Linked DNA regions of Sus scrofa. The protein of the gene in region 6 purifies or fractionates together with the protein of the main gene of each other region. This does not show direct contact. Links are inferred from orthologs where the notes say so. Each region holds a gene or a part of one and is shown on either strand. Other genes may lie near its edges. The genes, in order: NUDC, NUAK1, TFAP4, NFKBIB, USP47, BTRC and GLI1.

Region 1 (4,006 bases), on a different chromosome or scaffold from region 6:
GCAGGGTAGATAAAGCACTTGGCAAGGAAAGGGACTTCAATAAATGACAGTAAATGCTTTCCTTCCCCAACTCTTGCCCTTGGCGTGTTAACTTCTGCGAAAGGTTATTATTATGCCAAAGGAAGGCCAGGTAAGCTCGCCAACACTCACCTTCTCTGCCATCCCCTCTTCTCCTCCAACAAAAAAGTCTGTTTTGCGACGAAGGAAGCTGAAGAAAGTGTTCACAAGCTGAAAGACAGAAGGCAAAAGACTGAAGCTGTAGAGGTGCCATACAGGGAGCCCCTTAACCACACACAAGCAACCTCCTTCACCTAGGAAGGAACTTGGGACTGGACCATTTCAACCCTGAGCCTCCCAACTGGGAAAACATCCCCCCCAACAGCCCTGCCTTAGTTACTTCTGCCAGGAAGCCTAACCTAACCTGATCTAGAGCAACAGAAAGGGAGAATTCTCATTTCTTGTGTATATGCATATGTGTATTTCACATTTTTTGTGATGCTAGAAGCAGCCTGAGGATATGGGGCACTGCATCCAGGTTTGAAATGCCTGGGGCCTAGCTTTCCTCTCCATGTAGCAAAAAGCCCATCCAGAGTGGCGCTGGCTGAGTTACTAGGGCAGAGCTGGAAGGAGAGAACAAAGAAGGCCACTTCAAAGAAGGTTAAGACCCACTAACTCTGGTGTTTTTTTCTTTGAGGGGAGGAGGGAGGTTAGCTACAGAAGCTCCTGGGGCCAGGGATCAAAATCAAGCCACAGCATGGACAACACTGGATCCATAACCACCAGGCCACCAGGGAACTCCAAAACCAGCTAACTCTGGCTGGGTGCATCAGTGCAGTCAAGTTGTTAAGTGCGTCGGTTTGGGAGTTCCCGTTGTGGCTCAGTGCTTATGAACGCAACTAATATTCATGAGGACATGGGTTCGATCCCTGGCCTTGCTCAGTGGGGTAAAGATCGAGCGTTGCAGTGGGCTGTGGTGCAGGTCACAGACATGGCTTGGATCTGGCGTTGCTATGACTGTGGCATAGGCTGGCAGCTGCAGCTCTGATTCAAACCCTAGCCTGTGAACTTCCATATGCCATGGGTGTGGCCCTAAAAAGGAAAAAAAAAAAGAGCATCGTTTTGGCCATTAGATTGATATACATTAGCTCTGTGACCTGGGGACAGTGTCTTAACTCTATGAAACAGAAATAGCAGCAGGACCAATTTCTAGGGATACACGTGAGGATCCTTGAGAGGACCAAAGGAAGACATGCAGGTGAGGTCCTTAATAGCGTCTGGCTAAAGAACCTCGGCCACAGAGAGAGCTCCTCACAAGTAGGCACCATGAACCATGACTCTGTGTACATCCCCAAGGCCTGGCACCAGACCTGGCTCAGAGTGCATGCTCAGAAAACTTTTGCTGAGCAAAAAGATCTAGTGATGACTGAGGGTTGGCACATATAAATAAGCCCTTTTATTTGCCCAAGTGAGAGGTTCTAAATCTGACGCTAGAATTTATCTCAACAGTTTCAATTCCTGCTTCTGGACACTTTTTCAATTCACTCAAAAATGAACTCACTTCCAAATCCAGGTGCAACAACAATTTAGGGGGGTAGGAGAAGGGAGACTTTCACATCTGCAAATTAGTAGCACTCTTCCCACAGGGACCTGAATGAGAATGGGAATGGAAGGCTCCAATGAGACACAGAATCAACAATGGACTGTGGAAAGCACACACTGGCCTAAGGATTCTGGTCCCCTCTAAGCCAGGAGCCTGTTGGATGAGCTTGGGCAAGCTCCTTCAGTTTCTTTAAAGAAAGACTAATCTTGATAGGTTTTGCTACGTTTAACTTTCCATCGTCCAAAAAACCAACTCCAGAATCTTTACTAGTTGGTCCTTATCCTTTTCCTACACATGTTATTGGGTTTGGTCACTAAGCATGAATTATGTTCTTGCACACATCAATTACTCAACAAACACTTGTTGAATGTTCGAGTCTGATTACCGAGAATTCTTCACTGTCCTTCACTTCAAGACACTACTCTCCTACAAATTCAGGAAGTAAGGATTCGTAGCTCTGTCTCAAAGAAAGAAACTGAAGCTTGGAGACATGAAACAGTCCAAGTTGTTAGGAAATGCAAAACACGCCTCCTATTCTCTCATTCAAGATCTAGAAAGACCACGTGTTAATATCACCCCCCCCACCCCCACACATCGCATACATTCTTCCGCTCGCCCCAAGTCTTGGTACATGCAAATCTCAATGCCTAGAACATCCTAAAGGATGTTCTTTGGGGGCGGCCACCAGAGGGGAAAAGGGCCGGAAGCAGGTTGGAGACTAAAGAGGGGGAAGGGATTCCAAGACTCGGGCCTTCCCAGGGGCAGATAAAGGGATGCCAGAGCTGTTAAGATGGTAACTACTGAGGGGCCCCAGGGATCCAGAACTGGTCCGAGCGCAAGACTTGCGGCGGGGAGGCCAGACTAGAAGCTGGGGTGCAATGAGAATGCGGGATCCTAAAGCCCGCAAGGCCCAGGGGTGGATCTCGTCTCTCGAAGGCAGCGAAGGGAGGAAAGAGAGTGGCTGGGCCGCCTGGGTGGGCCAGGCCAAGCCAATGCCGAGCGGGTCGTTACCTCCTGCACGCCTCCCTCGTGCTGCTGCGCCATCGCCAACAACATGCCGTCGAAACGATCCTCCTCCTGGTCTCCACCCATCTTGCCAGCTGCTAGCCACGCTCCGAAATCTGAGCTCTGCTCTCGCGTCCCGCGCTCTCGGCGCCTTCGGGTCGCGTCCGGTGCAACGGTTTCAGTCCTCCGCCTTCCGCAGCGGAGACGGAAACACGCACGCGCCCCGCTGCCTTGGCCCGCCCGCCTGCTCTCTCCTCCCGCCTCCCTTGTGGCCAGCGGCCATTGACCGTGCGGCAAGCAGCCCGCTTCACTGACCATTGGTCGACTTGCTGAGCCAATCAAAGAGCGCGTCCGTGAGCGGTGGGCGGAGTCGAAGGCCTCTGAGTTTGGTGTGAGTTGCTATGGTCACCAGGAACCTTTTGGAGCCTTCCAGAAAACCCTGGGCTCAAATCACGCGGGCCTGAAAGTTGAAAAAGCACAAACTTTGAATTTACGCCTTGAGAGTGACCGCTGAGCTTGTAGAACGGTAAAGCGTTCTTAATCATCTCTTCCAAGTTTTCCATCGGCCAACTGAGGCCCAGAAAGGAGAAGGGAACTTGCCCCAAAAGACAGCCTACCCCTGTTGTCATCACATACTCCATACAAATTGTGCAGTCGCAGGGGACCCGGACTTAGAAAGTCCCTTGGTGCTGGGGTTAATGCTCTTCTGCTGCAGTCCTGAGACTCTTAATATTTTTTAACAAGAGCCCCACCCCCAACCCCGCATTGTCATTTTGCGCAGTTTCATGCAAATTATGTAATGAGTGCTAAATTCGAACTTCACTTTTGTGCGGGACAGACCCCAGCCATCTAAGGCCAAACCCTCTACTTTTGTATTGAATTTCATCATCTTAGTCTTTTCAGGGATTCTACTCTTACTATCCTTTCCTAATTCTCCTGCATCAGAATTTTTTTTTTTCCCTACTCAATGAATCTGCATCACAATTTTCTTTCTTCTGGATCATCCCTTTTAACTTACAAATATACTTTAATGCCACTTCTTTTTTTATTCTTCTATGACCCCCCCACACAAACTTTTCTCCTCCTACCATTCCAATTTTATTTTTTTATTTTTTATTTTATTTTATTTTTTGTCTTTTTGCCTTTTCTTGAGCCGTTCCTGCGGCACATGGAGTCCAATCAGAGCTATAGCCACCGTCCTACGCCAGAGCTACAGCATCGCAAGATCCAAGCTGCATCTGCGACCCACGCCACAGCTCACTGCAACACCGGATCCTTAACCCACTGAGCAAGGCCAGGGATCGAACCCGCAACCTCATGGTTCCTAGTCAGATTCGTTAAGCACTGAGCTTCGATGGGAACTCCTATCCCAATTTTAAAATCTCTTTGACAGCAAAACTT
Region 2 (3,500 bases), on a different chromosome or scaffold from region 6:
CAGTGACAATGCCAGGTCCTTAAGCAATAGGCCACCAGGGAACTCCAGATGTCACCTTTATAATATGAAAGAGTCACGTGGTTCCCTAACAACCTGTGGCCAGCGCAGCGCAGGGCTGGGCCATACCTTGTGACAATAGTGCACGGCGGAGACGATCTGCCGGAAGAAGTGCCTGGTCTCCCGCTCGCTGAGCCGGCGCCGCTCGCTGATGTAATCGTACAGCTCCCCTTTGCTGGCGTACTCCATGATGATCACAATCTTATCTTTGTTCTCGAACACTGCGGGGGAATGGCAATACACAGACAGCCTGTTTACCCGACCAGCTCACTTATGATACAGAGACTGTGAGAGGGGACGAGGGAGATGTCACCGGACGGGGCAAACAAGTCAGGCCATCAACGCCACGAGGGGATGAGCAAGCTTCCCAAGCAGGTGGACCGTGACATCATCGCTGTCTCTGTCACCTGACTGGGAAGCGTGCCTTCTTCTGAGGACCCTGCTCCCTTTACCAGGTTCCTTCCTCCCAAGCCCTTCCCATCGGATCGGCTCCCCTGTGGATGAGATCATGGGGAGTAACCGTTTGATATGGACCAGCTACCCAGACCCTGAAATGAATGGCTGAACTTGTTGCCTCTATTCAAAAGCTTCCAGACTTTCCATCCCACTCAAAATAAAACCCAAAGTCCCAAATGCAGCCACCAGACCCTTTTGAGCCCTTTGATGCATCTATTCTGTGTATTTCTTTGGTCTCCCCCACTAGAATGTAATGAGGATTGAGCTGTCTCTTTTTTTTCTTTTTAGGGTCACACCTGCGTCATATGGAAGTTCCCACGGTAGGGGTCAAATCAGAGCCTCCGCTGCCGGCCTACCCCACAACCACAGCCTATGTTGAAGCTCACGGCAATGCTGAATCCTTAGCCCACTGAGGGAGGCTCGGGATTGAACCTGTATCCTCATGGATATTAATCAGATTCTTAACCTGCTGAGCCACATGGGAACTCCAAGGATTGATCTCTTTCATTGGCTGATGTACCCCAGCACTCAATGCCCATTGGCAAAAGGTGTCAATTAATATTATTAAATGGGGGAACTCACAGCATCTTAAATGCATTCTGGACTATCACTGTAAATAATCAAAGCACTAAATGCGTCTCTCTCCCCAACGCTGATATTCTCTAACACTGATGTTCAAACGCTGCTCTCCTGAGTCCTAGGAGCTCCAGGCAGATGCCCAAGGGGGCAGGTTGGGAGACCATGAACAGAGTCTAGGTCCTCAGCTCCACTGCAGCCAAAGCCCCTCCAATGCTATCTGTTTCACAGTTGGGGGTTTCACACAAGATGCCCTTTGAGCGAAGATAAAATAATCATCATATTGAAATCTATCACTTCCAAGGGATATGGTGTAAAAACCTTTGTAGGGTACCCAAGACCCTCCCGTTCCCTGTAGGACCCCTGCCTACCTCCTCCATCTCACTGGCTTCTACCACTCCCTATCAGGCCCCCTCCGCCCACCAATACCAGATCTGTTCACAATTGAGCCAGATTGTTCACAATCTGATGTCAAGTTGTTATTTCTCTCTCTCTCTCTCTCTCTCTCTCTCTCACACACCCACACACACACATACTGCTGTTCGCACCTCCATGCTCTTCCTTCTGCCTTTACTCCTACCTATCCTACCTGCCAGGGCAATACCAACTCATCTGTCAAGAATGAACTCAAGGAGTTCCTACTGTGGCTCAGCAGGTTAAGAACCTGATACAGTGTCCCTGAAGTTACAGGTTTGATCCCTGGCCTTGCTCAGCAGGTGAAGGATCCAGTGTTGCACAAACTCTGATGAAACCCTTAGTCCGGGAACTTCCATATGCCAAAGGAGTGGCTGCAAAAAGAAAAAAAGAAAAAAAAAAAAAAACTATTTTAAAAAAAGGGAACAGGAGTTCCCGTCATGGCGCAGTGGTTAAAAATCCGACTAGGAACCATGAGGTTTCGGGTTCGGTCCCTGCCCTTGCTCAGTGGGTTAACGATCTGGCATTGCCGTGAGCTGTGGTGTAGGTTGCAGACTAGGCTCAGATCCTGCAGTGCTGTGGCTCTGGCCTGGGCCGGTGGCTACAGCTCCGATTGGACCCCTAGCCTGGGAGCCTCCATATGCTGCGGGCACGGCCCAAGATATAGCAAAAAGACAAAAATAAATAAATAAATAAAAAATAAAGAGAACACACGAATGAACTCAAATATGGTGTCTGCAGGTGTGGTTATAAAAAGGAAAAAAAAAACTATTAAAAAAAAAAAAACATAAGAATGAACTCAAATATGGCATCCGCCTTGCTTCCCTTCCACCTCTCACTGCGCTAATGGATACTTACCTCACAGCACTTTGAAACTGCATGGATATACTTGCTGATTACATATTTATTTCCCCTGCCTGGACTCTGAGCCTAGACTTGGAAAAGTAAAAACTGTCATTTTAGAATCAGGCATTCCTAAGTAGATGCCTGGATCTGCCTCTTACTTGCTGTGTGACTCTGGGGGAGTTGCTTGCCCTCTCTGTGCCTTTGGTATTACATCAGTATTTCCCAGATTGTTGGGAGGATTTATTGACATCAGGTATGTTAAGTGCTCAGAACAAGGCCTGCCCTCATGGCACACACTCAATAATGTTATTACTGTTGGTATCAATACTCTTGGACTCCAGAGGGCCCAGCACTGACCAGATGCACAGACACCCTCAATGAACTGGACTGTGCCCCCAGCCAGCATCCCCTGTCCTCCCGCACCTCGTCCCTGGCTGCTAGCAGCTCAGGCCCCTCCAGTTTCTTTCTGGCTCCTTCAAGTCCAGCCAAACCTCTCTGATAAAACGGAGGGAGAAGGAGGAGGGCAGGGAGGAGGAGGAGAGAGAACAGCCAGATAAAATTGGCTGCTCCCGCGTCTGCTGGCCTTGGTGTACCCTGCAGCTTTGGCTCCTGCCAGGGATCTCAGCCTGTTGTGCACTCTTCATTAACAATCAGCTTTGGAAACTGGAAAGCCTGCCTCAGGATGCATGGCTCAGGCTCTAAAAATGAACGAGTGATAGGCCCTGGAGAGGGCAGCGGGTTTTCTAATTTTAAAAATGGTTGCGGGGTGGGGGGTGCAGCAGGACAGAAAGTACTTTGAGAGGGAAATAAACAAAGAGCCTCACACCCCCAAAGAGTCGGATGTGCCCTTAAAGAAGGCCAAAGCCACTGGTCCCCTCAGTGACCATCAGAAGGTGTGGGTCACTGGCTTCATGCAGACGAAAGGACTGTTTCAGTGAGCAGACTTGTCCCTTTCCTGGCTCAAGGAGATAGAAACACGGTTCAGTTCAACACAGTTCAATGTGCCAAAGAGTTTACTAAACAGCTTCCATCGCTAAGTCCTGCTGGTCCTACCTCTAAAAACAGACCCCGATCCTGTCCACCTGTCTCCCATCCCCGGCCACCCCTTTCCCAACCATCTCCCCTCTTTCATGCTTGGTCCTCTGCTGACT
Region 3 (4,148 bases), on a different chromosome or scaffold from region 6:
ATCTGAGACAGCAGAGGGCTCCAGATGGCATGGCGCAGAAATGGGGAGGCCAGTTTGAGTGACAGTGTGCTCAGGCTGGGTCAAGGCAGTTCTGTAGGAGAAGAAAGAGCAGGGGCCAGGCAGACTTGTCCCAGCTCTCATCATTCATTCACTCAGGCACTGTGGACAGTGATCAGGGCATACAGTTGGGTGGCTCTGTATCCTATGTTGTCCCCACATGCCATCCTTCCTGTCCACACAGGGAAGCCCCCCGGGGACTGTGGTGTTACATGGTCCAGGATCTGTACTTACAGAAACAGCCCAGCAGCTGACTTTGAAGGATTGGAAACTATACCCGTAAAAGGGCTAGGCATCTGCAAGATACTCGGAATATCTAAGAACAATAACGGTTCCTACTAAAACCAGAAATCCTTGTCTTGAGTAGGAGTATTTCAATTAGAAGGCGCGATTTGGGCGGAACCTGGAAGGCGAATAGGTTTGAGGAAGGCGGTGGGCAGGAGGGAGGACATTCCAAGGCAGGCGCGGTCTTCCTGAGCCAGGGGCCAACCTCCAGGAGCCTGGGGAGGGGACGCAGGAAGGAGGGGGGGGCGGAAGCCAGCCGCCACGGTGTTCCCCACCCCCAGGCCTTCACCCCTAGTAGAGAGCGCACCCTGGCGGAGGAGCAGGTCCCGCACGGGCTTCGCCACGAATGGGAAGCTGCAGCCTTCCGCCTACCGCGGCCAAGCTGGGGCGAGGCTCGGGCCGTCCAGCCTCCCCGCAGAGGGGTGAGAGGTGGAGACCCCGCAGCAGCCACCGGACCTCCCGGCCGCGCTGGCAGCCTGCCTCCGGGGCCGCTGCCGTCCTGGCCCGCCTCCCTTCCCTCCCCGCCAGGGCCCCTGCTTCCTAAGGCAGCCCCAGGATCCCAGGCGCCCGGCGCGCCCCCCTTTGCCCTCCCTTCCTTGGCTCCGGGATTCCCAAGCTCCGGAGCCCAGGCCAGACGGCCAGCAGCGGGCAGCTGGGCAGGGAGGGAGTGAGGGAGGGGGCTGGCCGGCCTCTGAAGTCGGCCCCAAGTTACATGTGGGAAGCGGTAGCTGTGACGCAAGTTTCCAGGGGGCCCTGGGCTCGGAGGGAGCGCGCCAGAGCGGCTCCTCTCCGTGCAGTTGCAACCGTGAAAAAAGCCCAGAGCAGCACCGCAGGCCACCTTCGCCTTTGCCGGGCCCAGCTGCGAGCCCCCGCACCCCGAGGGCGGCCAAGCGCGCAGGGTCTGCACCCGGCGGTCCCCGCCGGACCCCAGGCGTACAGGCTGGGCTCCCTCGCAGTGGCTGGTCTTTTTTTTTTTTTTTTTTTTTTTTTTTTTGCTACGCTTGCCAACCTGTCAGCTGATGGACCTCATCACCCATAGTGGCGCATGTAGCTCGGCCGCAGCTCGCTCCATTCACGCTGCGTCCCCCAGGAGGACCGGCGGCCCCCGCACCCCCAGCTGGGGGGTAAGGCCCTCAGACCCCGACCGCCACTCGGCCCTGGGGGCCAGCGCCCCTCTTGCCCCAGCCTCGCGCCGCCCTGGGGGCGCTGCAAATAGTCCTTTGTTTACATGCAATTCCTTACTCCGCGGAAGGAGGCCGGGGGAGTGCTGAGTTTTCACCAGCTGTTTCCCGCCTTGAAACAGACATCTGATCAGCTGCAAACACACACACACACACACACACACACACACACGCACATACACACGCCCGGGGAGGCAGGCCGGAGAGACCTCCCTCCCGCCCCTCCCGCCCGCCTCCCTCCCCTCGCCGCCGCCGCAGCCAGCATCTGGGACCGGCCGATTCTGCACCTCCGTCCGGCGCTGCCCTTTGATTCGGATTTCCATCTTGCATTCTCCGGCGGACCGCGGGACCTGGCTCGTGCAGAGGAGGGGGGCCGATCGCTATGGAGTATTTCATGGTGCCCACTCAGAAGGTGCCCTCTTTGCAACATTTCAGGAAAACAGAGAAAGAAGTGATAGGAGGGCTCTGTAGGTGTGTACTCCTCCTCCCCCTCACCCTCTTCCTATGATTGCAGCCCCTGGCCAGCCCGCTCCGGCGGGCGCGCGTGTGCGCACGCATGGCCCGCGCCGCGGACCCTCTCGCCTTTCTTAGCCGCCGGGGCGGCTGCAGTCCCGCGCGCCGGGCTCGGGCCTCCCAGGGACCCTCCTCTCTCGGAACGTGGGGGCCCCGAACGGCCCCGGTCACTTTTGTCCGCTGCAGGCGGGCGAGTCGCGACGTTTGTAAATTGCAAACAGACCCACGTGGTTCTGCAGCAGTCCCGGCCATGCTTGGTGCTGGTGGCTTTCCCCCCCGCGCTTCCTCCTCCCCCCTCCCGCGGTGGCTTCCTTCCTCTCCCTCCTTCATCACTCTCTCTGGGCGCCCCCCTCCAAGGGGTTCTGGGGGGGGCCTGGGGCGCGCGTGGGGCCGCGGCGCTGGCGGCTACAATGCAGCCACGCCGCGGCTCTGGGCGCGGGGGGGCGGGGAGCCGGTGGTGTGAGTGTTTGCAGGGAGCTGGGCTGCAGCGGGGTCTGGGGGCGTGCTGGAGTTCGAGGGTGTGAGGGGGGTGCGGAACCCGAGGGGCCGGCGCCGCCCGCCGGGAGCGCTGTGGACCCTGGCACGTTGGCGGCCGCCAGCTCGCTCGCCGCCCGCGCCCGGGCGCTGTTTACTAGCGAGGCCTGGACGTGACTCTGCAGCCCTCTTGGAGTAGGCGGACCTCCGCGCGCCGCCAGGCGGGAGCTGTAGTTCTGGGCTCCGCGTCCCTACGGCATTGTGGGAGTTGTAGGCGCGCCAGGGCCACGCTTTCCCCGCACAAAGCTTGGACCCCGCGGGCGGGCTGTTGGAGGCAGGTCCGGTCGGGGGGCTCTCCGGAGAGGGGGCAGCAGAGTCCGCTTTTAGCCTCACCAAGCCGCTGCCTGCAGCACGTGGGTCCCCACTGCAAACTTTCCTGTCTCACGCCCCTCCCCCAGCCATAAACCGAAAGCATCTGGTTGCCCAGCCCGCTACCCAGTTGGGTGGGTGGTCCGAGGTCCGTCGCCCTCCTCAGGAGCCACCTTCTAAGTTTTGCCCGGGATCCTCTGGATCTCCCCTTCCCCGGAGAGTGATGGGTTAGCGGACACTTGTTAAAATTCACATGCCCGCAATTCCGATCTCTAGAAGGGCCCGAACATCTGCAGGTTGAACACAACCGGCAGGATGGCGGCGCTGCATGGGGGTGTTCTCTGCGTGTCCAACTTTGGGACCTGTGGCCCCCTTTCCTGCTCTAGTAGCGAAATGGCTCCCCAGGGCTGGAGCCACGTGCTCTGCCGCCCCGGGGCGGGCAAGGCGGGGATTGAGAGAGGAGGAGCTCAGGGCGGTGTGGCCCAGGCTGGTGGACACCAGGGCCCGTCAAAACCTGTCTGCGGGAAGGTTGCTGCACACCGCCGCCCCCGTCCCAGGGCTCCCACCTTAACTACGCTCAGCAGAGGGGCTCTGAGTGTTGGCCCTTCTCCAAGGTCCAGCTGGAGAGCTTAGCTGTAATAAGGGAAAAGAAGAAAAAATTCGGGAGCTATTAATATGCTGTAGAGACTCCTTTGGGGAGATTTTTCTGAGTCCTTAGCATCTTCCCCCGAGTGAAGTGGCTTTATGGCTTCCTGTGCGGGATGAGGACACAGGTCTGGAAAGGAAGAGATAAGGCAGGTGCTGGGGCTGGAACTTGAACCTTGGTCCCAGAGCTGCTGGTTGCTCAGAGGAGGGTTGGCCAATGAGGAGATGGGTTGAGCTGCCTCAAATGCTGCAGAGGACATGCGGAGACTGATCCCAGGCAGGCTTGGCACCAGAGGACCATAGGCTGCCTGGTCTGGGCCTTGGCCGTGTCCTCCCTGGGCCCCCTAGAACTCTGGCTTGGCTCTGTTTCTGTTCCATGCCCCCCTTGGAGGAGTCCAGCAGACCCATAGGGGTCTCCAGAGTTGGGCCTGCCCAGCTGTGAGATTGTTGTCAGCCCATGCGTTGGGTGTGGGGCTGGGGCCTCTGGGTTTGTTCATTTTCTGGGAGCTGCTGGGTGAGGTAGGAAGCTTGTCACGGATCGGGTGTGAGTTGGGTGGGACCTTCTGGCCGGATATACTGGCTTCTCAGGCAGGTGGACTTTGCTCCATCCCTCGGTGACCAGCA
Region 4 (4,164 bases), on a different chromosome or scaffold from region 6:
AATGGAACAAAATTTGCTCATTCTAAAAGGCAGAAAAAGAGGAAAAAGGTAAAAGAGATAAGCAAAAAAGCTAAAAACAAGATAAACATAACCATTTCAATAATTAAGTTAAATGCAAACAGTCTAAACACTGCAATTAAAAGACAGAAACTGTCAGAATGAATAAAAAAGTAAACCTCGAGTTCTCTTGTGGTGCAGCAGATTCAGGATCCAGCACTGTCATTGTGCCACACTGCTGTGGCTCGAGTTGAGTTGCTGGCTCGGGAACTTCCACAGGCACAGCCAAAAAAAAAAAAAAAAAAGCAAAACCCACTATATGCTGCCTGTAACACTCTTGAAATATAAATTTTAAAATAGGTTAAAATTAAAGGGTATAAAAAGATATTCCATGGTAACACCAGTCATTCAAAAGAAAACAGAAGTAAGTATTTTAATATCAGAGTAGATTTCAGAGCAAGAAGCATTACCAGGGCTAGAGAAGGTTATTTCATAACGACAAAGAGGTCAGTGAAACAAGAGGACTTAATAATCCTAAATATTTGTGCCCCTAATAATAGAGCATCAAATTACACAAAGCAAAATCTGATAGCACAACAAGGAAAGCCACGAATCCACAATTATTGTTGAAGATTTCAATACCCGGCTCTCAATAATTGACAGAACAAGTAGAAATCTAGACTTGAGCAACAAAAGAACCAGGGAAACACTGACACTCGGAGAACACTACACCCAACCAGAGCAGAATACACATTCTTTCAAATGCACACATTATATTCTTGGCCCTAAAACAAGTCTCAAAAAGTCTGAAAGGATTCAAGTCATGCTAGGCTCTCCATCCCCAACAGAATTAAACTAAAAGCCAATGAAAGAAAGATGCCTGTGATATGGAAACTGAATAACATACTTCTGAAGAATCCGATGACCAAAGAAGAAATCAAAAAAGAAATTAGAAAGTATATTGCATTAAATAAAAACACTACACATCATGGAATTCCTGTTGTGACTCAGTGGTTAACGAACACAACCAGTATCCATGAGGATGTGGTCAATCCCTGGCCCGGATCACTGGGTTAAAGATCTGGCACTGCCATAAGCTGTGGTCTAAGTCGCACATAGGGCTCAGATCCCACATTGCGGTGGCTGCGGTGTAGGCCGGCAGCTGCATCTTCGATTTGACCCCAGCCTGGGAACTTCCGTATGTCGCAGGTAGGCCTTAAAAGCAAAACAAAACAAAATGACAAAAAACGACACAGCACATCAGAATTGGTGAGATACTGCTAAAGCACTACTCCGGGAAATTTACAGCATGAATCACTTATATGCGTAAAAAAAAAAAAAAAAAAGAGTCTCAAATCAATGACCTCAGCTTCCATCTTAAAAAACGAGAAAAAGAAGAAATTAAACCCCAAATAAGAGAAGAAAGTAAATAAGTCAGAACAGAGATCAACAAAATAGAAAGCAAAAAGAGAGAAAAAGAGAAAATAAATGAAACCACAGCTGGTTGTTTGAGAAGATCACTGTTTCCTGAGTGCCTCCTATGGGTCAGGGGCTGCTGGGTCACTGGGGATACAGCGGTAAACACGATACTCAAAAACCCCAGGTACATTCCCTCAATTGGGCCTTTACAACTGTTTTTCCCTCTATGTGCAATGTTCTCCCCAGATAATCTACTTGTCTCACTTCCCTGCTTTATTTTTCTCCAAAGAACTTCTTAACGTCTGACATGCTATTTTTCTTTTTTTTTTTAATTTTTGTCTTCGTTTCTTCCTGCCTTTCTTCTTTCTCTCCCTTTCTTACTTTAGGTCTGTGTATCTTTTTTTCTCTTTCCTTCTCTCTCCTTTTCTTTCCTTTTTCTTCCTCCTACCCTTCCTCCCTCCCTGTCAGTCTATCTGCCCTTCTGTCTATATACCCCCACTAGAATGTATGCTCCACAAGACAAATGTTTTTTGGGCTTTCCTCCCTGCCTTTAGGCCACACCTAAAACAGTTCCTGGAAAGTCGAAGGTGTTGGATTATTTGTTTAATAGATGAATTCCTGCTGTTATGTAGTTTCCATTTTCTCTTTGAATGTAAGCTTTGAAGATCAGAGTTCAGAAGGTGGGATCCTGGAGTCAAAAGCCAAGTATTAATTTCGAAATAAAATCTAAGGCTCATGTAAGTTAGGCGCTGAGGACCAAAGATCATATTTGGAGGATAAAGGTCAGGAGGAGCCTGTCTGAACTACAGTTCTAACAGAGGGCTAAGGACTGGGGTCAGGAAGGTCAAATCGAGTTTTGGATGTGGAATCGATCACTGAATGTGGGTCTGATCAATGAACGCATAACTCTGAGAATCAGTTCAAGAAAGGAAGGCCAGACATTATTGGGTTAGGATCAAAATTAGATAAGAAGTTGGTTTTATCAGAGGCCAGTCTTGGGGTCAGGAAGTCAAGCATCAAAAGACAGATTTAGGATTGAAAGGTTGGGAAGTCAGGATTGGAGATGTGGGACCCTGGGGCCCGATTTGTCAGTCTAAGGTTCACTCACGTGTCGCCATCCTCAGTGACGTAGCCGAAGACGAGGGGCGCCCACGATAGTCCCGGACCCAGCTCCGCGCCTAGGCCTGGTCCTCCGGGGGCCGCTGCGTCCGGACCCAGAGAGCCCAAGCCGCTGTCGCACCATTCATCGGTGTCCGCAGCTTTCCCCAAGCACGCAACCCCAGCCATGGCCCCCGAAGCCTCAGGGGCCCCCAGCGGCAGCCCGCCTGTCGCTGGGCTCTGCCTGGAATTCTCGAGCTTCCGCCCTGCGGGGAATTCCCCAACACGCCCCCCTGACTCATCCAATCAGGGTGGGCTAAGTAGTACACGCCCCGCCCCCATGCCACATGATGACCAATCAGAGCACTCAGGTGGACTACGGCGTTCTACCTTTTCCCACACTTTCCCGGAGTCCTTTACCAGCATGGCTGTGGACGTGGAGCCCTCTGGGACTCGTAGTCCGGCCTTTGCGTGGGGGCGCGCTCCGTACGCGGTGCAGAGCATTATATGCGATCGCGATGGCTGCTGGGAGTTGTAGTTCTCTGCCTTGTCTCGGCCCCCTCCTGTTTCCGGTGCCGTCACGGGACAGAGCAGTCGGTGACAGTCCCGAGGGCCCCCGCCCCGCGCCCATGGCCGAGCCGGATCGTGAGTCGGGGACCCCGGTGGGAGGGCAGGGCTGCACCGGGGCCTAGCTGAGGGTCGTAGGCCCCGGGGCCCGAGGGCAGGCTTGGTGGGGCAGGAGATGGGGGTTGCATGGGGGGGAAAATGGGATTCCGGGGGCAGTTGCCAAGTGATCCATATTGCTAGATTGGTGGCTTTCTGGGTCGCTAGGTTTTAAGGGTCCGTTTGCCACTTCCCCCAAGTTACTAATGATCACATGTTTCTCGCACCTTAGTTGCCAAGGACCCTCGTTGCTAGGGACTTAAGATGCCGCGGTCCTGGTTGCTAAGGGTACCTGGTTGTTAGTAGCAACTGTAGGATGCCAGGGTCCCCTCCTATTGCTTCCTTTTTCTCCGAAACCAACCCCACCCTGCCCGACACACACACACACACACACCACACACACACACACACTCTGCACCTCTTCTCCCAAACCTGCCAACAGGCAGAGTATGTCTTCTCTCCTTTCTATGGCTTCCCACTGCTTGTAAACCTAATGACACACACTCTCACACTACTACACCCTTCCTAACTCCTCCTAAGTCTTCCTCCATGCCGGGCGTGCTTTACTTTCTCTTCCCTCGCCTAAACCTTCCTGTCCCGGCCTCTTTGTCCCTCGCTAACCTCTCCTCCCAGCCGTCTGCACACTGATAAGGTCCGCTTTTCCCCATTGCCGCCCTCCTCCACTTCCATTTTACACCCCCACCCCACCCGGTATGACCAGGTTGGTGAGTTTTCTTGATCCCTCTGCCCCACTAATTTGAAGCCCTTCCTTCCCCCTTAACCACTCCCTTCACCTTAACCACGTCTGCTCCCCCTCCTCCCCCCAGCCTCAGACCCTGTGGAGACCCAGACAGGGAAGGTGCAAGAGGCTCAGGTGAGATGGGGCGGAAGGGTGGCGGGAAGGAGAGAGATGGACTTCCCACACCCCATCCTGGGAGGGAGGTGGCAGAGGGGAGATGGGAACCCCAGGGCCCTGAGCTCCCTGCC
Region 5 (3,500 bases), on a different chromosome or scaffold from region 6:
TTTTTCTTTTTTGGGTGCCCCACAGCATTTGGAGTTCCCAGGCCAGGGATCAGATCTGAGCTGTAGTTTTGACCTACACTGCAGCTACAGCAATGCCGGATCCTTAACCCTCTGTGCCAGGTCGGGGATCAAATCTGTGTCCCAGGGCTTCAGAGATACCACTGATCCCTGGCCTGGCATGTTGATCTTTTTATTTCATCTTTTGATATCATTATGTGTTCCATCACTTATCATTTTTCTGTTTTTGTTCCTAATGCCATTGGTTTACTCTGAATAAATTGCATCAAAATTTCCTTGTTTGCCATTTTTTATTTATCGCCATTTCCAGTCTCATTCATCTTAGTGCAGTTTGGTCTTTTATCACCTTTAACCATTTTTTAGTGTTGTTTTCTTAATTCTAATGTGTAATTTTTATTCACCTCTAGTTTCTTCTAATACTTTTGTGTGGTGTTTGTGTGTATAAGATTAAAATCCTCTAATCTCCCTAATACTGTTTTAGGGTAAAGAATGGGAATGCTACAACTTTTTTCTTTAAATAGTTAACTAACTCCTGAGTTATAACATTTATTGAATAATAATCTTGCTATAAAAAATTCAAAATACTCTTCATAATTGCAATATTTGTGTATACACATTTCATTTTTTAAAAAGACTTTATTATGGAAAATGTCAGACTTATACAAAAATACAGAGAATAGTGTAATGAGTATGTACTATCACCCAGCTTCTGTAACTATCAAGTCATTTCATGTATATTTAACCACTGCTTCCCCCAGATTTTTTGAAAGACATTCCCAGTATCATGTCATTTCATCTATAAACAGTCTGAATGTATATTTTCAAAAGATAAGAACTTTTAAAAAACATAACCAATTACATTAATACACCTAAAAAATTAACAAAAATGCCTCATTATCAAGATATCAACCAGTATCTTGGTGTTCAGATTTCCCTGATTATATTAAAATTTTTTTCCAATAAGATTTGTTTGTTCAAATCAGGATCCAAACAATGTCCATAATATCTCTCAAGTCCGTTTTATTTTATTATTATTTCTCTTTGGCTGCGTTCACGGCATGCGGAAATTCCCAAGCCAGGCATTGAAACTGAACCCCAAGCAGTGACAATGCCAGATCCTTAACTGCTAGGCCACCAGGGAACTCCTCTCCAGTCTATTTTAATGTGAAGATTCCACTATGTGTTTTTTTTTGTCTATTTGTAATTTATTTGCTATAGAATCAAGTCGTTTGTCCATTACATTATTATATATAATCTGGATTTTGGTGTCGCATTCCTGAGATGTTTTTGCACATATTCCAATAAATAAGATGTCTGCACGCACTTGTGTGTTGGGGGCGGGGGGACACGGCATCTGTCTTAGAACAATTTTTTGACTAATTACAAAGATATGTAAATATAATATTTATTTTGTTTAGCCTCCAGAAACAATGGATGTGTCCTTTAGAAACATCATCTCAAGTTATCTAGCTTATTGTGCACTGTCTTATATTGATGTGTTATTATTCCTATGATGTATTGAGAATGTCACCTAATTTAATGAAGTTAATTCTCTGACTTACAATTTAGGTGTTTGTTGAAAGTTCTGAGACTGTGGATCACCAGATGGCCTTTACAGACTCTCATTTATGGAAACTCCTGGATCGACATGCAAATACAATCAGATTATTTGTTTTGTTACCTGAACAATCCCCAGGATCTTATTCCAAAAGGACAGCATACCAGAAAGCTGGGGGTGATTCTGGCAATGTGGATGATGACTGTGAAAGAGTCAAAGGACCTGCCGGGAGCCTAAAGTCTGTGGAAGCTATTCTAGAAGAAAGCACTGAAAAACTAAAAAGTTTGTCGCTGCAGCAGCAGCAGGAGGGAGATAATGGGGACAGCAGCAAAAGTACTGAGACTAGTGACTTTGAAAACATTGAATCACCTCTCAATGAGAGGGACTCTTCCGCATCCGTGGATAATAGAGAACTTGAACAGCATATTCCAACTTCTGATCCTGAAAATTTTCAATCTGAAGAACGATCAGACTCAGATGTCAATAATGACAGGAGTACAAGTTCAGTGGACAGTGATATTCTTAGCTCCAGTCATAGCAGTGATACTTTGTGCAATGCAGATAATGCCCAAATCCCTTTGGCAAATGGACTTGACTCTCATAGCATCACAAGTAGTAGGAGAACTAAAGCAAATGAAGGGAAAAAGGAGACATGGGATACAGCAGAAGAAGACTCTGGAACGGACAGTGAATATGATGAGAGTGGCAAGAGTAGGGGAGAAATACAGTACATGTATTTCAAAGCAGAGCCCTATGCTGCAGATGAAGGTTCTGGGGAAGGACATAAATGTATGTACTTCATAAGAAGAAGGCTCCTTGAAACAGCCTCGGGTTTTTGTTTTTGTTTTTTTTTAATCAGTTTATTTAAATTTTTAGTTAAAAATCAGCTAAGAGTCAGATACTTTGTCCTACAACTACCTATAACTTCCTGGATTATAGGATTATCTTCTGTTGCCTTTGCTTTCATTTTTGTTGCATTTGATAGTGAATGGTGTTCTTAGACCTGTACATTAGACTTATATACAGGTCTAATGATGTCAGAACTCCAATGAAATGATTTTAAAAAGGGGGGAGAGAAAATTAAGAATTTTTTTAAAGAAGGAAAGAATTATGATAACAGTGCTTAAAAAAAAAGCTAGACATTTTAGAAAATTTTACGTTCAGTACCCAGAAAAAATTTTTATTTTTGCAGCTCTTCCCCTTTTTCTATCACCTAAAGCAGACAGCACCCTTCCCACTCCCCCTAAAAGGGCCATAGCTAACCAGGAAAGTCGGAGAAAGGAAAGGATCTTTTTTTTTCCTTCAAGTTTTCTTAAAGGAAGCTTCAGGCAAGATATAAACCAGAAATTAGCAGGGCAACCAGGTTCAAGATTCAAAATCTTTCTTCTAGTATTAAAAAATAGCTGAAAACCTAGATACCTTGCATTAGTCTGGAAGGCAAATATAAATATTATCCCTTATATTTTTATATTTTAGCTTTCAAAACAGTTGTTTGTTCTCCCTTTAAGTTTCTCTGAAATTAATAAAGTAAACATTGATATCCTCACTTGACTGGTAGGAAAACTAATGAGTGACTTGCCCAAATATACATATATAGCTAGTAAGTGGTGGAATCATTACAAGAGGCTTCTAATTGAATGCACTTGCTTCCCATTACTTTTAGAGGAGAGTCCTACTCTTCATCTATCTCTTTATCCAACTATTGTTATTTCCTAAATCCATGCTAGGTGCCAGGCCCTCAGAGATGACTGAAATTGTAGCCTTATGCTTCATCTCATGGGGAGAAAGTACACAAACAACCACTATAATAGTTAAATGCTATATGATGCCTGTAATCTCAAAATTGGGTCTTTTAAAAGGAAGTGATAGAAATTATGAAATCAGTAGTAAAAACACATAAATTTGTCCGTGGTTAACATAAATT
Region 6 (3,500 bases):
TACATAAACAAAGACTAGAAAATGTGATCTTTGTGGCAGAGGCATTCCTGCTGCCCATGATGCTGGCTCCAACTGACACTGGCACAGCTTTACTCAGTGGAAAAAAGGCTGTGGGGCATGTTCCTAGTTCAAAGATGGTAGTATCATCACTAACAAAATTTTCAAAGATAAGGCCAATTACAGAGATCTTATTAGACCAGTAGGTGAATTCTGACCATAAGCATTCCATTTGTCTATTGACATAATGTTTCCGAAGACCTGACACTCTGATGTTCCGCATTGGAAATCATCATGTTTTATCCAAAAACAAATCATTTGAGCCCAGAGAGTTCCTCCTGATGTGGGACTCCTGACATCAAGCTTAACTTCATACCTCTCTGGAGATTATAACTACAGATTATATGGAATGGTAACTGTGAAAACACTTTAAAGAAATATGAAGTTCCTTGTAAATGTATAATATGATTTTTATTGGGAAATATTTGTTTTTTAGGGGACAGTATTTATTCAAAAACAAACCTCCTGATGGGAATGCTCCTCCCAACTCTTTTTATAGAGCACTTTATCCTAAAATTATACAAGACATTGAGGTAAGAATATATGTATATTTGGGCATTTGCCAAATACTAGAGAATCATCAACATTCTTCAGTAACAGCAGTGTTATAGCAAACCCATTAAGGTTTATTGATGTGGGTTAAAAATCAGTTTCTTCACAAGTGAATAGGGAAGATAAAATATAGTAAATTGCCAAGCAAAATTTTAAAGCTTTTAAGTTATTCACTGATAAATACATGAAAGAGAGTATGATAATAGCTTTAAAACTGTTGAAGTTGCACTTATAAGCTGTCATTCAAATATCTTCTGAATTGAGCCTCTGTGGAAGCTCACTGGTAGAAATGGCTACCACAAATGTAAGATGAGCACTGAGCAGGTAACCTCATATGAGTCATAGCAAGTGGCAAAATATTTTACAACTTTAAATAGTGGCTTTTTAAAAATATCTTTAGGGAGTTCTCTTGCGGTGCAGCAGGTTAAGGATCTGGTGTTGTCATTGCAGTGGCTTGGGTCACTGCTGTGGCTCAGGTTCGATCCCTAGCCCAGGAACTGCCACATGCCGTGGGCATGGCCAAAGATTTTTAAAAATAAGAAAGTTTTTACATTTTTAGTATGTGTTAAGTTCTGTGTATCCAGTAGAGTAGAGCACTGAGCATTTGTCATAGGTTGCCATGAAATTCAGATGAGAGTTTAGTTCCCTAAAACTAATTACAGCTTCTTTACCCATTCCTTCCTCTCAGACGATAGAATCTAATTGGCGATGTGGAAGACATAGCTTACAGAGAATCCACTGCCGAAGTGAAACGAGCAAAGGAGTCTACTGTTTACAGTATGATGATCAGAAGATAGTAAGTGGCCTTCGAGACAACACAATCAAGGTGAGGTCTCTTCAGTTATGGGAAGGTGGCTGAAGGGGTGAGGGGGACTACAATCCCTAAAGCAATCCAAAGCATAAACTCTAAGCAGTATTTCCAGAAAGTAAGTGAGAGTCCCAAAGCCAAAAATCGTTTCCTTTAAGGAAAAGTACCTGCTTACCCACAGAAACACATGCAAATGGGTAGTGCTAAGGTTAAATTCTCTTCTTGAAGTGCCCTGAATGGGCTATTAGTCTTTTGGCCCTCACATAATTATAGGCTACCCCTGTTTCCTTAATGAAAAGGATCAAGTCTGCATTAGTACTGAAGCCACATATATATAGGTGCTTCGCTATACCTATAGAGAAGAATGCATTCCACACTACTCTGGGCTTTGATTCTTTTGGGGACTCAAACACAAAATAGAGCCAGCAAGTCTCTGCAGCACCCCATTATCATAGTGATCAAAAGGATCTTGTTTGCCATCCTAGATCTGGGATAAAAGCACATTGGAATGCAAGCGAATTCTCACAGGCCACACAGGTTCTGTCCTGTGTCTCCAGTATGATGAGAGGGTGATCATAACTGGATCGTCGGATTCCACAGTCAGGTAGAAAATTTCAATAATCTTTAGAACTCTGAAATGTCAGGTGTACTCTATTCTGTCTTAGTAATTTTGTATATATGTGCATGAACATAGTTCGAAAACTTTATAACTAAAGAATAAACCATCAGCTCCCTCCATAGTTGTGTTAATCTAGAACTAGAAAACTTGATTTAGGAATGGTTATGATAAGTTTACATTTCTGCACATTTAAGAAACTATATATTCTGTTTTAATTTGGGGGAATCATCTCTTATAGAAACGTGGTAAACCTTGCATTTCTTACAAAAACCACCTCACAGGGGAATGACATGAGTGGAATGGAGCCTTCCTTTCAGGTGGTTATAGCTATAGTGCAGGCACGCATTATCTCCTTTAAAATGTGTACAGGTGAGCAGTACTCTCTCTTTGCCAGCCCCTCCCCTGCTGTCCCTGCAGTTTTTAATTGCAGGCTTCACTCAGGGAGGGGGCTTCAATTTCCAGAGGCATTAGTAATTTGATGACACAGCCATTATGCTGCTGGAGTCCAGTGTAGCTTGAGTTCTGGGTACCAGCAGCACTGCTGGAAACCTCTGTTAGGAATTTTGCCTTGAGCTAAAGGGTTTAGCAAACATAATGCATCAAAAGTAACTTTAAAAAAATAGAAAAAAAAAAAAAAAGCAGTTAACTGCATTGTTAGATTCTCTGAAGTTAAAAGTTTACCTTCCAAGTTATCCTCTGTAAATAGAAAAGGCCATTTCTTTTTCTTGTCTTTTGACTTAAAGGCATAGCAGACTCAGTTCTTAGAGTTATCAACATTTAACATTTATTGATGCTTATGGAGTGCCTCAAGGAAGCTGAAAGTTAATAGAAGCTAACATCATTTCTAGGATAAGGGAAAAAATGATTTCCTGAAAGAGGGGGTTAAACTGGAAAAAGAAATAAAATGTGTTAGTAAAACCAAAGTAAACGTACAGAAGTAGAGTGGTCAAAGCAAAATATATCCTCACACAGCAGTCTCAAGCTATTCAAGGGTCCTGCCCTCTGCTGCGAAACCTATATATATATTGGGGTGGCCATTCTTGATACCTACCCTCATTTAAGACACAGAAATGGGGCCTTAGATTTAGGGTCTAGGTAATCTTAGGCCTTGACCTGTGTGGTAAAAACCAAGATCCAGAGTCGTCAAGCTCAGATCCATAGTACTGAGTCATCTGTTAGAGAAGTTTCTTGGCCTCTATCTGTTCTAAGACCTGAGGGCTGCCTCTTGGGACCACCAGTGCTGCAGTTATTAATTAAATATATCAGATTGTGGAGTTCCCTCATGGCCTATTGGTTAAGGATTCGGCATTGTCATTGCTGTGGCTCAGATTCGATCCCTGGCCTGGGAACTTCTTCATGCCATGGGTGCAGGCAAAAATACATATATGCGTGTATTTCTTAAATTTTAAATTTTTCTAACAGATTGAGTGTCAGAAGCTTTATAGTCATCTCGAAGTCTGGGGC
Region 7 (3,500 bases), on a different chromosome or scaffold from region 6:
GTTCAAGACGAGGACACTGGCTGTAGGTTCCAGCAGGCGCCTTGGGGCCTGGGTACAGTCCAGAGTGGGAAGGGAATTCACCCCATGTTTCTGGGGTGGGTTCAGGATAGGCGACCTGCTGAGGGCAAGGGTTGGGGCCATAGTTGGTGGGTGGACCAGGCCCAAGAGGCAGGGAGCCCGGGCCTCTAACTCCGTAAGGCTCAGTTGCTGCCCCCTCAGGTCCCCCGTATCCCAGAGTATCAGCAGGTGGGAAATCCATATAAGGGTTCAGACCACTGCCCATCATGGAGGTCCCAACCTCTGGCTTCTCCCGTAGCCCTCTGGTATCCATGGTGACATTCTCAGTGATGCTGGGGGGCTGTGGTGAGTAGACAGAGGTTGGGAGATGGGGATCGAAGTTCTGTCCTCCTCCTGCCACTGTAGGGGATGTGTGGACACAACCCAAGCTCTTGAACCGCTGGACTCTAGCTGGGGCAGGGCGGTCAGCAGCCCGGGCTGGGTCACTGGCCCTCCGGGTGACCCCTACGTTGGGGTTGTATCCTGGATACTCGGCTCGGCTTCTCCAGGGAGGTGCAGGGAGACCCCCCATCCGATCCAGGCTGGGTGCTGCTGTGGGTGGGGTACCACCTCCCCTGGCTGAAGCATATCTTGCCCGGAGCAGGTAGTGCTGGGCAGGCGTGAGGCCAGGCAGAGAGGATGCCCCATTCTCTGGTGGGGAGCCAGGGGGGAAAGGAGAGGCCAAGGAGGAGCGGCGACTGACAGTATAGGCTGAGCTGACACTGCTGGAGCTGCTGCTGCGGCGGTCAAGAGAAACTGGGGGGCCCAGCCGGCGGGACACGGGAGTGCCTGCAGTGAGAGGTAGAAAAGGCAGGGTGGCTAAGGAGCCCTCTGAACTTCACCCTGCCTCTCCCACAGGACAGCCTTGTCCTGGAATCCCAGGGAAGGCTCCTTAACTCTAAGCATTAGGTTCTGTCTCCTCCCATTCCCTTTCCGCTCTTGGATCACTGGGAATTCAGAACTGCTATGAACAGTCCTACAGGTTGTACACTGCACAATCCTAGGGGACAGCATTCACACTATAGATTTTGTATATCACAACAATTTTCTAATAGATGGAAGGAAATTATCTTACAGAAAGGGGACCTTTTTCTAATTGTACAAAGGTGCTAGATAGCAGCCCTGAAGGGTGAAGTCCTCTTTCCAACCCCAGGGAAGGTCCAAATCTCAGCTCAGCAACCACCCCTCACAGCCAGCTCTTACCAGTGTGGGTCAAGCTGGGCAGTTTGAGGCCCCGGGGCCCCACTGGCCGGAACTGATGTAGTTGGTCCAGCCTGAGATTCTCAAGGCGGCGAAGAGTAGACAGACCAGTGCCAGCAATACAAGGTCCCTCGTCCAAGCTGGACAGGTCCTCAGTGCTGCCTCCTGCATTTCCAGTCATTTCCACACCGCTGTCTGTATTGGCCGCGCTGCCTGCTGGGGAGTGGTCACTGCTGCAGGAGGACTGGGCTCCAGGACTCGGCTGTGGCTTCTGTGGGGAAGATGAGGGCTAAGGCTGGCACCTACCTCCCTTCCCCATAGCTCCCTGAACTTGGTGAGTGGCTACAGCCTGTGTCCCAGTGACTGCTTATGACCTTAGACAGTTTCTCTATGCCTGAGTTTCCTCATCTGCAAGTGGGGAGAGTAAGTTCCTTTCTCACGAAGTTGTTGTGAAGAGTATGTGAAATTATATAGGTACAAGGTCTAGAATAACATACTAAGTTTCATATAAAAGTTTGTTGAGGAGTTTCCGTCGTGGCGCAGTGGTTAAGGAATCCGACTAAGAACCATGAGGTTTCGAGTTCGATCCCTGGCCTTGCTCAGTGGGTTAAGGATCCAGGGTTGCCATGAGCTGTGGTGTAGGTCACAGACGTAGCTCGGATCCCGTGTTGCTGTGGCTCTGGTGTAGGCCGGCAGCTACAGCTCTGATTCGACCCCTAGCCTGGGAACCTCCATATGCCATGGGAGTGGCCCAAGAAATGGCAAAAAGACAAAAAGACCAAAAAAAAAAAAAATTACCTGTTTAAAAAATAAATAAAAGTTCGTTGAACCAATTAAATAATTCATCCCCTAGGTTTAAGGTACCCCAAGGAGCAACACTCAGATAAGAGACTAGGGGTCTGGCCACAGAAGAGATTTACGTTGGAGGGGGTGGACCAGTTAGATGGGGTCTAGAAAGATGTCGGCAAGGCAGGCAGGGGGTCGGAGGCAGGGGGCCGCCTCACCATGGCACCCTCTGGCACAGTCAGTCTGCTCTCCTCCCTGACGGGGCCTCCATCCCGCTCCCTCTTAGGCTCCACCGTGGAAAGAGCCGAGGCCCGAGGCAGGGGGCCATCTCCTCGGTGCCGCTTGGTCACGTGGGCATCAGGACCGTGCACTGTCTTGACATGTTTCCGGAGCGAGCTGGGATCTGTGTAGCGTTTGGTGCAGCCAGGGAGCTTACACACATACGGCTTCTGTTGCGTGGAGAGTGAAGACAGCGGGCAAAAAGATCAAAGCAGGAGATTGCAGAAGAAATGGGAAAAAGGGTTGGCGTTAAGTGAGGTCGAGGGGAGTCAGGGAGGAACGCATAGCACCTAAGGAAGAGTAGGGCCCTGCAGTAAAAGACGAGAAGATCAAGGGGAAGATTATGAAAAACTGACAGCCCAGGCCTGGGCAAGATGAGGGGGTGAACCCAGGTCTGTGAGGCCTCATAAACTCAGGTGTTGAAGGCACCAGGGTCTCCTTTGTTAGAATGGGTCTTTAGCTGCTTGAGGGTAGGGGGAAGGGTGGCAAGTGGAAATTCTTGGTTTCAGAGAGACCTCCAGGTGAATTGTATGGGTGGGGAGGAACTCACCTCAATGGAGTGGGTGCTGGGCTAAGGGATTTCTTATGGGGGATTCTCCCAGTAGGTGGCTTCTTTAAGTGGGAAGGGTCTCTTGGGTGGGGCATTCACCTCATTGGAGTGGGTCCGATTCTGGTGCTTGGCTCGGTCACTGGCGTTGCTGAAGGCTTTACTGCAGCCCTCATGCTCACACATGTATGGCTTCTCACCCGTGTGTGACCGCAGGTGTGTCTTCAGATTTTCCAGGCGTGAGTATGATTTCCGGCACCCCTCAAACTGGGGGAAATGGGGGGGCGGTCAAAATATCACTCTCAGACAGAAGGACATGGACATTAGTGGAACCCTGAATCTCAAAAGGGACATCTATCAGAATATAACTCAAGAGGAGAGAGGACTGGGGCTTCAGGATTCCCAAAATTCGGGAACAAGGGCAGGTGAGAGCTGGGAGAACGGAAGTAGCTGGAGGCGCTCTGTCTGCAGGGACATGGAGATGAGGCAGTAAGCAGCTCCTGGTCAAGCCAAAGCATATCTGCCCACCTGGTGAGCCCAGCTGGTTTTAAGATGGGGTCATCCTGGAAGAGCGTGTCCCCATTAGGCAGGACCTCTCCATTAGGCAGAGCTGCAGGCACAGTGTCTAGGG

The links.
Region 1: the proteins of BTRC (region 6) and NUDC purify together in Homo sapiens (affinity purification with mass spectrometry; 3 studies listed by BioGRID and IntAct, counting the BioPlex papers as one, with this or other methods). This does not show direct contact. The link is inferred for Sus scrofa from reciprocal best matches to the Homo sapiens genes BTRC and NUDC.
Region 2: the proteins of BTRC (region 6) and NUAK1 purify together in Homo sapiens (affinity purification with mass spectrometry; 3 studies listed by BioGRID and IntAct, counting the BioPlex papers as one, with this or other methods). This does not show direct contact. The link is inferred for Sus scrofa from reciprocal best matches to the Homo sapiens genes BTRC and NUAK1.
Region 3: the proteins of BTRC (region 6) and TFAP4 purify together in Homo sapiens (affinity purification with mass spectrometry; 4 studies listed by BioGRID and IntAct, counting the BioPlex papers as one, with this or other methods). This does not show direct contact. The link is inferred for Sus scrofa from reciprocal best matches to the Homo sapiens genes BTRC and TFAP4.
Region 4: the proteins of BTRC (region 6) and NFKBIB purify together in Homo sapiens (affinity purification with western blotting; 4 studies listed by BioGRID and IntAct, with this or other methods). This does not show direct contact. The link is inferred for Sus scrofa from reciprocal best matches to the Homo sapiens genes BTRC and NFKBIB.
Region 5: the proteins of BTRC (region 6) and USP47 purify together in Homo sapiens (affinity purification with mass spectrometry; 5 studies listed by BioGRID and IntAct, counting the BioPlex papers as one, with this or other methods). This does not show direct contact. The link is inferred for Sus scrofa from reciprocal best matches to the Homo sapiens genes BTRC and USP47.
Region 7: the proteins of BTRC (region 6) and GLI1 purify together in Homo sapiens (affinity purification with western blotting; 3 studies listed by BioGRID). This does not show direct contact. The link is inferred for Sus scrofa from reciprocal best matches to the Homo sapiens genes BTRC and GLI1.

The regions. Positions count from the first base shown.
Region 1 is NC_010448.4:84,237,489-84,241,494, reverse strand, and holds the start of NUDC (nuclear migration protein nudC), read right to left. Parts: upstream 2,801-4,006; 5' UTR 2,693-2,800; coding exon 2,612-2,692; intron 229-2,611; coding exon 151-228; intron 1-150. UniProt on the Homo sapiens protein: Plays a role in neurogenesis and neuronal migration. Necessary for correct formation of mitotic spindles and chromosome separation during mitosis. Necessary for cytokinesis and cell proliferation.
Region 2 is NC_010447.5:14,150,478-14,153,977, reverse strand, and holds part of NUAK1 (NUAK family SNF1-like kinase 1), read right to left. Parts: intron 279-3,500; coding exon 127-278; intron 1-126. UniProt on the Homo sapiens protein: Serine/threonine-protein kinase involved in various processes such as cell adhesion, regulation of cell ploidy and senescence, cell proliferation and tumor progression. Phosphorylates ATM, CASP6, LATS1, PPP1R12A and p53/TP53.
Region 3 is NC_010445.4:38,046,348-38,050,495, forward strand, and holds the start of TFAP4 (transcription factor AP-4), read left to right. Parts: upstream 1-1,348; 5' UTR 1,349-1,570; coding exon 1,571-1,935; coding exon of another isoform or gene 1,936-1,994; intron 1,995-2,504; exon of another isoform or gene 2,505-4,148.
Region 4 is NC_010448.4:47,702,280-47,706,443, reverse strand, and holds the start of NFKBIB (NF-kappa-B inhibitor beta), read right to left. Parts: upstream 2,801-4,164; 5' UTR 2,704-2,800; coding exon 2,525-2,703; intron 1-2,524. Other genes in the region: SIRT2 (NAD-dependent protein deacetylase sirtuin-2), read left to right, coding at 3,144-3,159, 4,005-4,051. UniProt on the Homo sapiens protein: Inhibits NF-kappa-B by complexing with and trapping it in the cytoplasm.
Region 5 is NC_010444.4:47,465,394-47,468,893, reverse strand, and holds part of USP47 (ubiquitin carboxyl-terminal hydrolase 47), read left to right. Parts: intron 1-1,587; coding exon 1,588-2,365; intron 2,366-3,500. UniProt on the Homo sapiens protein: Ubiquitin-specific protease that specifically deubiquitinates monoubiquitinated DNA polymerase beta (POLB), stabilizing POLB thereby playing a role in base-excision repair (BER). Acts as a regulator of cell growth and genome integrity.
Region 6 is NC_010456.5:112,562,764-112,566,263, forward strand, and holds part of BTRC (F-box/WD repeat-containing protein 1A), read left to right. Parts: intron 1-493; coding exon 494-590; intron 591-1,297; coding exon 1,298-1,435; intron 1,436-1,902; coding exon 1,903-2,021; intron 2,022-3,500. UniProt on the Homo sapiens protein: Substrate recognition component of a SCF (SKP1-CUL1-F-box protein) E3 ubiquitin-protein ligase complex which mediates the ubiquitination and subsequent proteasomal degradation of target proteins. Recognizes and binds to phosphorylated target proteins.
Region 7 is NC_010447.5:22,742,825-22,746,324, reverse strand, and holds part of GLI1 (zinc finger protein GLI1), read right to left. Parts: intron 3,137-3,500; coding exon 2,972-3,136; intron 2,493-2,971; coding exon 2,262-2,492; intron 1,529-2,261; coding exon 1,261-1,528; intron 847-1,260; coding exon 1-846. UniProt on the Homo sapiens protein: Acts as a transcriptional activator. Binds to the DNA consensus sequence 5'-GACCACCCA-3'. Regulates the transcription of specific genes during normal development.